Neodiprion lecontei: one gene and its partner. The protein of the gene in region 1 binds, or shares a complex with, the protein of each later gene. Links are inferred from orthologs where the notes say so. Each region holds a gene or a part of one and is shown on either strand. Other genes may lie near its edges. The genes, in order: (E3-independent) E2 ubiquitin-conjugating enzyme UBE2O and nucleosome assembly protein 1-like 1.

What was found.
Region 2: the proteins of (E3-independent) E2 ubiquitin-conjugating enzyme UBE2O (region 1) and nucleosome assembly protein 1-like 1 are in contact, whole or in part, in a cryo-EM structure (PDB 7UN6), measured with the Homo sapiens proteins. The link is inferred for Neodiprion lecontei from reciprocal best matches to the Homo sapiens genes UBE2O and NAP1L1. Residues at the interface, in NP_071349.3 of Homo sapiens: Ser225, Asn226, Val282, Lys283, Pro284, Val285, Lys289, Ser290, Lys291, Phe292, Arg293; in NP_001317160.1 of Homo sapiens: Arg333, Arg337, Thr343, Gly344, Glu345, Ala346, Ile347, Asp349.

Annotation. Positions count from the first base shown.
Region 1 is NC_060261.1:3,801,412-3,806,693, reverse strand, and holds the start of (E3-independent) E2 ubiquitin-conjugating enzyme UBE2O, read left to right. Parts: upstream 1-2,267; 5' UTR 2,268-2,399; coding exon 2,400-2,615; intron 2,616-3,304; coding exon 3,305-3,478; intron 3,479-3,612; coding exon 3,613-3,771; intron 3,772-3,868; coding exon 3,869-4,519; intron 4,520-4,611; coding exon 4,612-4,822; intron 4,823-4,908; coding exon 4,909-5,092; intron 5,093-5,218; coding exon 5,219-5,282. Other genes in the region: uncharacterized protein LOC107218116, read left to right, coding at 50-276, 398-458, 551-679, 790-1,140, 1,228-1,310, 1,388-1,514. UniProt on the Homo sapiens protein: E2/E3 hybrid ubiquitin-protein ligase that displays both E2 and E3 ligase activities and mediates monoubiquitination of target proteins. Negatively regulates TRAF6-mediated NF-kappa-B activation independently of its E2 activity.
Region 2 is NC_060265.1:2,824,143-2,830,474, forward strand, and holds nucleosome assembly protein 1-like 1, read left to right. Parts: upstream 1-2,046; 5' UTR 2,047-2,191; intron 2,192-2,643; 5' UTR 2,644-2,647; coding exon 2,648-2,803; intron 2,804-3,071; coding exon 3,072-3,352; intron 3,353-3,885; coding exon 3,886-4,039; intron 4,040-4,133; coding exon 4,134-4,271; intron 4,272-4,388; coding exon 4,389-4,536; intron 4,537-4,618; coding exon 4,619-4,738; intron 4,739-4,826; coding exon 4,827-4,987; 3' UTR 4,988-5,305; coding exon of another isoform or gene 5,306-5,316; 3' UTR 5,317-5,653; downstream 5,654-6,332. Other genes in the region: transmembrane protein 131, read right to left, coding at 1-106, 171-284, 394-517, 627-707, 888-916, 997-1,061, 1,750-1,843. UniProt on the Homo sapiens protein: Histone chaperone that plays a role in the nuclear import of H2A-H2B and nucleosome assembly.

The DNA of each region.
Region 1 (5,282 bases):
CACGTGTACGTTGTTCGTGCATCTGTATAATAAGTACAACTTTCAACAGGCACAGAATAACTCCGCGTTTCCACTTGCCTTGGATTACTACGAACCCCAAAGCATTTTGGGCGATGAAATTTTAGGGGAAATACTACTATCCGTTTTGCTGCAGTGCGGTAAATTGAATTTTCGATTGAATTTGAAAAATGCCAGTTTCCTGGACGACACATGGCTGCTTCCTGAGTGCTCAGCTCTTGAACTCGTGCCTTGTAAGACAATGGGCATGTCGGTTTCGTAAGTTTAGATGATTAGATATTGATGATGCAAACGCATGTAACTTTAAGTAGCGTCAATCTCGTTCACGTAAACGCTCGATACTTATTAATAAAAATCTCTTCTTTACGTTTCTGTCCAGCTTCATAGAGGGGAAGGCTCTGGTCGTCAATTTAGACGAAAATTCAGTCGCTGCCGAAGATGTAAGAATATTTTGTAAAATCATATTTAGCTACAATGCATAAAATTATTTATAATCAATGCAATGGCATAATTATTGCGATACTCTTATCAGGACAAAATTGAGCTTGGAGATGTCTTGGATGAGATCAACGGAAACGTTATAACTGCTAGCGCCAAGGGAAGACTTGGAAAAATCATGAAAAAGGCAATAGGACAACCCATATCTCTTCATATCATTAAAGTATGGATCAAATGGTTATTTTTCCTATGACACGACTTACTAGTCAGGCACCGTCAATTGCGACGTATTGTTGACGTGATTTTACCACAGCAGTTTTATAACTGTTTTAGTATCGGTATAAACAATCCAGAGATGTTTACGGACCAATTGTTCACCTGATTCGCAGCTCAAATATCGATCATATGAAAAAATTACTACTCCAGAGAAGTCCGATTCTGAAACCCGATTGTATCGGAGATGATAAATCAGGGGTAAACAACTCTAATACAGAGAACGAACAGCTGAAAGCTGGATTCGTGCTCAAGTACTGCGGTTCTATTTCTACTGGAACGGAAGGTGATGTAAGACAGATCGAAAAAGCCATTTGGCGAATCTTAAAGTCTGAGGATTTCCAGTCGACAAGTGTCAGGTTCGAATGCTTGGAGATAGGAGTCAGAGTCACACGGGCAAACGATGATAATGTAAGTTTTATTTGGATCAACGAGATATTTAGCTTTAGCCATTGAGAGATATTTTTGTTCTAACTGTGTACTGTATGGTATTTCTAGATCATTTCGAAGCACAGCTATATGGAAATATCATCATGCGGGCGTACTGCTAATATTCCAGACTACTTTGCGTTCATTGCGGGGTAAGATAATTATCAAAGTTACGTGCAATTGTTGGTGAAAAATTGTAACAATTGTTATGTTATCTATCTTGTTTCAGAGACAAAAACTGTAACGTGGCGACAAAGTTCAATGCCTATATATTTTTCCATCACAACGAAGAAGAAGTACAAACAATTTTGCAGAGTTTAGGCCAAGGTTTCCAGCGAACACACTTTGCTGTATGAATGTTCGTTTACATTGTCAAATTTGGCTAGGGGTTGCCTAATATTCAAGCTTATGTAAAGGAAACAGGGCTGCCGTAACGGTGGCTAAATAATTCAACGCAGATTGACAAGCTGTTAATAAGAATACAATATATTCCATCAAGGAATTAAGAAAAACAACAATATATCAATTAATATGCGATATCAAAAGAATTTCAAATAAATGTATATTTTCTGCCTAATTTAACATGTACAATGTATACATCTTGTAGATACCGCGTTGATTTTAATCTTCGTGGTTTTTACAAAATAAAAATCAATTCCCCAATTTTAAGTGTACCTAGAAGATTTTGTTTCCTTAGTCTCTCGGCCGCTCAATTTTCCCTCAGATAAATTAACGCAGACTAAAATGGAACTTGATTCTGCACACAACGCATCGCTTCGAAATGAGGATACATACGATCGAAGTCCACGCAAAGAGGGCGCGTTTTTATTTTTGAATAATTGAAGCGAGCGAAGGAGAAGACAAACGAGATCGAAACAAAAACAAGAGGTTGAAAAAAAAGGGTTGCCACGGGGTGAAACTAAAAAACAAAAATGGGTCCCGAAGGGCCGAACGATGAAGGGCAGAGAATGGACCGCTTCGAAACGTCGAGAATCGCCTAAATCCCGGCGCGCGCGTCTTTAGGGTCAAGGCGCGATCGCCCGGCCATCGTTGGCGGTGAGTGTGCGCCGTAAGATTGGTTCTGTCATCCGTCGTCAGCTGCTCGGCTGTCGTCGGCAGCAGGCAAAGAGCCAGAGCGAGGCACCGAGCCGACGGCTGACCGCGGAGTGTGTGCGTATCTAGTGCGTATGCAACCGACCGTCTCAACGAACTAACCCCGGACCGATATAAGGATAGAAAACATGGCTGCGAACACGATGATTGAATATTTCTACGAGGACGTTATTTACCGCGTGGACAAGCGAGGTAACGTTGAGTTTGGCATCGTCATGGGAAACGACGACCCCGACTCATCGGACGAAAGTTCGGACAACGAGGAGAGTCCGAAGCGGAAACAGGGAGAGATCCACGCTGTCTGGCACCCCTCCGGCGTCGAGGAACTCGTCAATTCTAAGAAGGTGATAATTCCCGAACGAGCTACTCCTCCCAGCTCTCCTTTCCCACTTCATTCTGTTATCTCTATCTATCCCTATCACTCTCTCTCTTTCTCTTTCTCCCTTCTTACGCTACCCCTAAATCGGAATCGCTTGCCACCCGATCAATCAACCGGTTCGCTGCGTATAAGCTTTACTTTCACGTCATAAAATACCGCATATCCTACCGATATACACTTCAATCAACGTATCTGCAACTTGCCAAAATGAAGAAACGGCGCATAACATACTTCGCATTTCACTGGGCGCTAATTTTGAATTTCGAACATACCCGGAATGTTCACGATATTGAAGTTTGTAACGTTATCGTATCGAAACATTGGGGGAAAAATCACTATTTTCTTATTTTTACAATCACTTGGAAGGAAAAAGGATTTCAAAATATGAGTATGTTTTATTTTATTATGGTGTACTGAATTCAAATAATTCCAAAATCGCGAAGTAACGGTTTTTCCTCAGCATGAATCGTTATGAACTTTAACATGGTGAATGTTTCATCTAATTGAAACATGCTATTGTTAATTGGGCCGTAAAACATCGAATGTCTCGTCATTTTGCTCAAGATTATACCTTAACCTTTTTTTTAAGCCTCCCCATTGTTAGGTAGTTGTTACATCAACCAATTATCCATTTGTTGTTTAATTTTTTTTTAGATACATCTGGCTGACAGATCACTGATGCCAGGTGACGTTGTACGTCGTATGATTAAGGGAAAGGACACCCAGAGAGGCTACTGTCGAGACATCGAATTAACCGCTTGTGTTCAAGTCATTGGAACTAAACAAATCTTGACTAATGTTAAAAGTGAAGATTTGGTGCCACTGGAGGTGCATAGCAGTTCGACGTTACTTTAACATCAGTTTTTACAGACATCCAATCTAGTCATGTCTGATGTCAATGTTGAAACGAGAGTATTTTTTGCAATACGATCTGTCCTAATGTCAGAATTCAACATTTGCAGGAATTTTCTACGGACATAGCCGTGTGCATGGATTCTTGGGTCGGTGGAATTAAGATGGTCCATTCAAAATTATGGCTGGCAATGCCGGATGGATCACGTTGTGTGATAAATGAAATAGATGCCTGTGCTCTGGAACAGTTTGAAGAAAAGCGAGAAAATGTAACGTGTAATTCAACACTGATCTGTGGAATGAGCATCGGATCAATTTCCGATACTTCAATGCTCACCTTATACCACCGATCCTTTTTTATTTCAGGATAACGATTTTCCACATTCCTCCGAATTCTATCCAGGTCAAAGCCTCTGGGGGCCGTTACATTGTCTGGAAGACGCGCAATGGATTTTGTGCACTAAGGAATTAAAGGCAAAGAGAAAGTTGAAGCCGCAAAAAATAACCAAAGTTGTTGTTGAGAAAATAGAGACTGATTCAATAGGAGTTCACTGGCAGTGCAGAGCCTACTCCAAAGACGGAGCTGGCACGGATCAGGTGCAACCAAAGTTTGTAGTGGAGGGTGAAGATCTCAAAAAATTAAAGCTCCTCAATGTATTTGAACCCTCGACACTACAAGTTGGGGATCGTAACTTTTACACCGTTAAGGAAAATGAAAATGTAATCAGCCGAGAACAGTGGAGAAAACAGCAAAGAGAAATTTTCAACGTACCAAAGCATGGCCCGCGGAAATCCCGGGTAAACGTTAGCGTTACCAAACCTGTTGACAATAAACCTATTATTCTGGATCGTCAAACATCCGAGCGATTGGAGGCTAATTTGGCCAACAATCCTGTCAACAATTCGCACAGTTCCTTGGCAAACAACAGTTTAATGCCACCACCACAAAATACCACTGCAGAAAGTTCCGATGATTGGGATACAGAAGATACAGGGTCACAAAGTGACACAGCTTCGGTTAGTAGGAAAAAATCTATGAGCAAGTTCAACGCAGATAGTTGTTTTTGTGAGCACAATAAAACCTACCTGCGCCTGTATAAAAATTACAGGTATCCAGCGGCTGTTCTAGCGTAGCGTCTATGGGCAAAAAAAAGAGAGGACCTGCCCTGATGACGAAGGTTCTGAAGAAAAAAAAGTTGTGCAAAGCAAAGAAGAAAGTTGCACCTGTTGCACTGATACCTGGAACGAAAATAGTCGTGGAAACTTTGTCGACGAGTACAAAAGCAAACGTAGTCTGGCAAGACGGGTCCGTCGAAATTGGTACTAACACACATACTTTCTTTTTCCATATTGAAACTCTGTGTCAATACATGACACTATACTGACAAGGTTTATCATCTATTCAGGTATTCCTTCCACCCAGTTGTATCCTATACATCACTTAGATGACCAAGAATTTTTCCCTGGTGACTTTGTCGTCGACCAAAAAGAGGAATCAAGAATGTATGGCGTCGTACAGAGCGTTGATCATCAAGGCAGAACGGCTAAAGTAAAATGGTTCAGAACATACACTTCAAGCCAAAGTCCTCAGTGAGTAAACTACAAATTATTTGCCGCAATTTTTAACAGTGTCCATAACCTTCGAGCCAAGTGATATTTATATTTCAAAGTCCACTAAAATCTTCGATGAATTAATGATGGGATTATTTTCACTAGGCCAACGATGTTACAAGAACGCGAGGTCAGTGTTTACGATCTGAAAGATCATCCTGACTTCCAG
Region 2 (6,332 bases), on another chromosome or scaffold:
GTGGATTATGCATATATATGAGAGGTGTGAAAGAGGCATTTAATGGTAGCTTGATCCCCACTACAGGTCGTAATCGATATGGACTGCTCACGCTGATTCCTCGGATCTGGATCAGTAAAAATAAAAGATAACTCTCGTCTTCTTTGACTTTACTCCCCTGTCACAATTACCTGATATTTTAGAGTACCGTCTGAGGTATGAATGAACAGATAGCTATCGATTTCACCTTCTTCCCTACCGAGGAACACAACATTGAATGTTGTATTGCCAAGGGGTGGGATTACCTTTAAACATATAAAATTTGTTTATGAATCTGTTAGCGCTCAGTTATATTCCTTTTCCTTAGGACATACCATAAAATCAGTAGTATTAAATGCAAGGCTAAAGACTCACTTTATCCTGGAAAAAAGACGAATGAAAGTGTTGTGTATTCCCAGAAATTGATGAGACATGAATTGTTTTATTACAATCTCTATTGAACAATGTCACAGTTTCTTGATGTGGTACACCAAGCTGTCTGAAATTGATATATTCAAAGTTATATTTCAAAATATAATTATATCACAAGTTCCAAAAAAATTTTGACTGCCTGTTAAACAGCTTCGTAATGGAAATTATTTACATACCTTTCTTTGAAGTCCAGTATGCTTGGTTTGAACTGAATGTATGATATTGCATCGACTGTGTTGTCATCTGACATCGAATTCCTTCAACAAAATTTCTCAATTATAGAGATCATGCATAGTTTGCGGAAGAAAAAGAGGAAACAGGAATAAGATGTGAAAATAAGAGAAGTATGAAAAGAATCTCTTACGTTCAAAAGGTTATCATTGAATGTGACTTGAATTGATATGAAACTCCACCTTCATTAGAATTACTTAACTTACCGATGCTCCTCAACTGAACTAGAGAATCCCTGTAAAAGAAAGATAATATAATATGATTGTGCAGTTTGAAGTAAAGGAAAGAAGTGAATGAAAAAACAGATCTCATTACCTTGTGCATGGATATAGGGATGTTGTCCAAAAGATACTGGACCTCATTGTTGGCTTGCACAAATGCTGAAAGTAAGAAGCATAGAAGAATTATAATAGAAACATACCAATGAACGTTAACGAAGCATGTGCACAAGTTTTTAATGAAAGACATTTGTGTAATTATAATTTGCGTATCAAGAGCATAGCTATTTATTTTGTAGAATCGTTCAGTGAGTACTGAATAATACAGATATTGGAAACGTAATGTTCGATATGGCTTTTTTTAAATTCATTGAAAACTTCGATTACATATGCATGTATATATATAAATACATATATATATATATATATATATATATATATATATATATATATATATATATATACACACATACATATCAACACACACACACACACACACACACACATATTTATATGTGTGTGTGTGTGTGTGTGTGTAGATATGTATATTAACCGCAAGCATAACTGATAATTCCAAGCCAAGCTATTCACGATCAGTTGTGGTTTTTATGTGTCGTAAACAATACGTAATGTGGGAAAGCGACTGAAATAATATATTTTGATATGACTACAGTAAATCTTATTTACCAAAAAAAAATATAACCGCGATTAGAAAATGAATTGCATAATTGATTATTAATCTTTTCAATTTATAAAAGTTAGTTTTATTTTAATACAAGTGTTATGTTATGTATATTGAATCAAACATGGAATACAGGATCATCGAAAAAACAGGGGAAAAAATACTCACCATTATTGTGTCCGTGCAAAGACGGGTGAATTTTCGACACTAATTCTAGAGTTATGAAAAAAAAAAAATTATAACATACTTTATTCCAAATCATAATTGTATATTGTGTTATTTAGTGCTGATGCTATTTCGTCTCTAGCAGAAGTGAATATCTGGTGTCAGCCATTTCTGTATTGCTATCGACACTTTTCAATATCGATTGTGGTTATTGGTCTTATCTCGTCTCCGAATACCAGCCGAATACGTGAAACAATCGCACGCATCTCGAGAATCTCGCACCTTTCGGACTGTTGGTAACACTGAGTCTCCGGGCTACGTTCGCGCCACTCGAGAGTCGAGACGAGACTCGATTATTTTTTATACGGTGGTACCCGGACCGGTTCGCTGTTCATTCCTTCGTTCGTCTCCGTCTTTTTTGGACTGTGAGCATCCTCAACCAAGGGTATAAATTTTTAATATATATCATTAATTCAATCGCCGCTTATTATCCGCGACGTACTCCACTTTTCACGCGTGACGGCGCTCGTTAATTAACATATGAAATATCATTGATTCATCCAGCTAATTTAACATCTGTAATTTGCTCCATGTGCACGCTACCTTCGGTCGCGGCGCATAAAACTTTACTTCAAACTTTGACAATATAATCTCCGATATTTTCGTACGAGCAGCTTATTGAAAGTATTTTTACATTTAAAAGTATCCACGTAGTCAAGGATTTGAAAATCAGTCCGCATCCTGATCTTTTAGGAGTTTCGGATTTGACAAATTAAACGTGTTCGCACGCGGGCAACCTTTTGTTCTCCCTACATGGCTATTCAAACGTCAGACATATTGGGAGGGAAAGATGAACAGTTTTTTTTTACTCTGTTATTTGCTATTATTTTACACCAGAACCATGACCACCGATCCTGAACGTGCTGGAGATGCCAGTGACTTGGAATTCGTTGAGGATGAAGATGAGAATCACCCTACGGGTATCAACTCGCAGATCCTTCGCAGGCCCGATCTGTTGGCAGCTTTACAAGATCGTATTCATGCACAAATGTTGGAGGTACTTTGTTCGCTTGTAGTTCTCTTATACTAAAGGATCCAGGTTTGATGGAGATGCTAAAGAAAAATGTTTTTAACAATGCAGAGATAATTAATCATTCATACATCTTACATATACGACGTAAATTATATTTGATTCAAATCAATTTTACATCATGTTTCCAAACTCAATATCTCAACACATCAGTAACAATAACATGTCGTGTGAACAGCTCTCATTTATTAGTGTGAAAATATAAAAGTGTTTGACAATCTTCTTTTTTTAACAGGCACTTCCAGCTCCCGTGAAACGTAGAATTAAAGCTTTAAAAAAAATACAATTGGTAGCTACAAATATTGAGGCGAAGTTCTATGAAGAAGTTCATGCTCTGGAATGCAAATACCACAAAATGTACGTACCTTTGTACGAAAAGAGGGGAGAAATTGTATCAGGCATCTATGAACCAACTGAAGAGGAGTGTGAGTGGGAAAGTGACGAGGAAGAACAAGGCCTTAGTAGCGAATTGAAGACTAAGGTGAAGATTGAAGATCTTAAAGAGAAAAAAGACGAGTATGTTTCTTTGCTTTCAAGGCTTTTGATTCACTGATTATTATAGCTTATGTAACGTATCAAATCAACTCAACCATTTATGCAATCAGAATTCAATATAAAGCAAAATTTTGTTGCTTATGCTATATTCAATTGGTTCCTGGTAACAGGACAACATAATACGTTAACAAACACGTACAACATGTCCTTGAAGAATAGTTTTGAATCATCAGAGAATATACACTCTCGTGATCCACTTATCTTTCGTGACCTCCGAACTGCCAACTGTATTATTAATTCCTTCTGCCTTTGTGGAGTACAGAATACATGGGGGTGACAATTTGATCCATACTTTGAAATAAAATTGATAACACCGGCGATATCGGTTGTGTTAAATTTGTACATATTCAAAAAGTAGAGTAAATCTTTAATATTCCACCCATGGCTGTTTCTTACTAAGACATCGCTATTAAAAAGTCATGATATCTCTATATCGGACGAAATTTTTTTTTTTTTTTTTTTTTTCACATACCTAACTCTTTATTCGTCCTCAGGGCTAAAGATGAGAACGTCAAGGGTATTCCAGAATTTTGGCTCACAATATTCAAGAACGTGGGAATGCTGGCAGAAATGGTTCAGGAACATGATGAGCCCATTCTTAAACATCTTTATGATGTCAAAGTTATTTTCCTAGAATCAAACCCAATGGTGAGCAACGAATAAATATGTAATCATGACTAACTAATTGAAATCCAAGTCTTGGCATGAACTTAACAGCCTTAATGTTATGTTTTTATTTTAGGGCTTTGTTCTGGAATTCCATTTTGAACCAAATGAGTACTTCTCAAACTCTGTTCTCACTAAGGAGTATACAATGAAATGTGCCCCAGAGTTGAGCGATCCTTTCAGTTTTGAAGGACCTGAAATCTACAAATGCAAGGTAAAAATTTAATGAATTTGTATGCGAAAGATTTAGCTTTGCTATTCAGCGTCAATGTATTTCCTATTTTACCTAGACTAGAATCTACTCGGTAATGTAATTTGTGGAATTCAACAGGGCTGTGTAATCGATTGGAAGAAAGGAAAGAACGTTACTGTAAAAACGATCAAGAAAAATCAGAAACACAAATCTCGTGGATCAGTCCGCACGGTCACAAAGACTGTACAGAATGATTCCTTCTTCAATTTCTTTAGTCCTCCAATTGGTAAGGAATTCTGTCATCTGATATTTTTCTGGTAGAATCGTTGGGTAAAATTTGCAATTGAAAATCATTTTTGTTATCACAGTACCCGAAGATTCAGAAGCTGAAATCGACGACGAAACTCAGGCCCTTTTGACGAGCGATTTTGAAATTGGTCACTACATAAGAGAGCGTATTGTACCCAGAGCAGTGCTGTATTATACAGGTATTCAACAAAATTTCAAACTAGATAAAGAAAAGTGAGCAAAAGACAGTTTGCAATATATTGTGTACAAATCTTTCGGCATTCTCAGGCGAAGGACTGGAGGATGAGGAAGATGATTACGAAGAGGAGGTTGAAGAAGAGGACGACGATGACGAGGTGGATGAGGAAGAAGAGGATGGCCATGTTAACGCCCCTCCAGGTGCGAAACTGCCCCAGGGAGCCAATCCCAATGAGTGCAAACAGCAGTAGGACTATAGAATATGTGAAATAACTAATCATAGTACCTATACAACTTTATTATAAGCCATCCCATTAACCACGCGATTGACCACTATCCTTAGATTGTACCTCAGTTCCGACTTGAACCGAAACACATAAACATTCCGAAGTCCTAATCAAAATGCAGAATTCACAATATATACGGTCTTGCAAATCTCTAGTGTACAACGTTTATATCAGCTATGACTTCTGCACTATGCTTTGAAGGCTTACGGAATATGATGTGCTTTGGCCTCTGATCCATTTACGTAAACCATCCGCTAATCATATCAATCTCTCCTATTCCAGATCAAGCCTAGAAACTTCAACTTACCAGTGAAAAAATTATGTGTAAAAACCTCTCTAAATCCGACGTTCATGACGATTGATGAGTAAATTTGACGCATTTAGAAATACGTATACATCTAACGTGTTTATAACATCTGAAGTATATTGATAATGTGGTTCTCTCCTCTAGTATATTCAACGTTCCTCTAATTATTAATTGCTTCAATATTTTTTTAAACTATTGTTACGTTTATATGTATGTAGACAGGAAATGATTTGAAAACTTTTTTCAAAATCTGTGTTGACCTATACAAAAGAGAAGAATTTTCGGTACTGTTGAGGCATTTTAATACAAAAATGTGAAAAAGATTTAAATGATCATTTTCATTCCCTACTTTTTCAATCCTTATGTGATTACGTCCCTATCGTTGTTACTCAATTTTAAATTTGTAATAAACCTTTATCATACAAAACAAACAAATTTTGTTTCAAAATATCGAAACTAAAGGATATGACTTAATGAGCTGGGGATATGTATGCACGATAACACGTGTGCGTGCATATACATTCATCTATGCTAGCTGAATAGTTAACGACAATTAATGTCATGGAGCGGGAGTAGCCGCAATAAAAAAATTGCGGAGTGACGTGTCCTACCACACATGCACTGCTTCGTGACAATCGTGACCAATTATTACTTAGCACGGTCTTATATCATTGACTGAGGATGCTGAAGGTAATGGGTCTAACACAAAGCGACACCAAGTGATTTTATTGGCTAGATCTAACGGAATAGGTCAATGAAATCACTTTGTATCGTGTTGTGTCAGAAAATTGTCGTAAAAGGAAAACGCTAATTATGACTGCGTTAATATTTGTGCCATCGATTTGGTTAGGGGAGTTAGAGGATAATTTCCGGTTTCTGCACCTGTCAACCGTAGACTTGACTCGTCTATGCTGTCAACCACCTGTCAACGCTGCAATGATTCGATAATTGCAGAAAAGTACAATTTCCACCGTCTTCGACTGGATTTTCACAAGCAGCAAA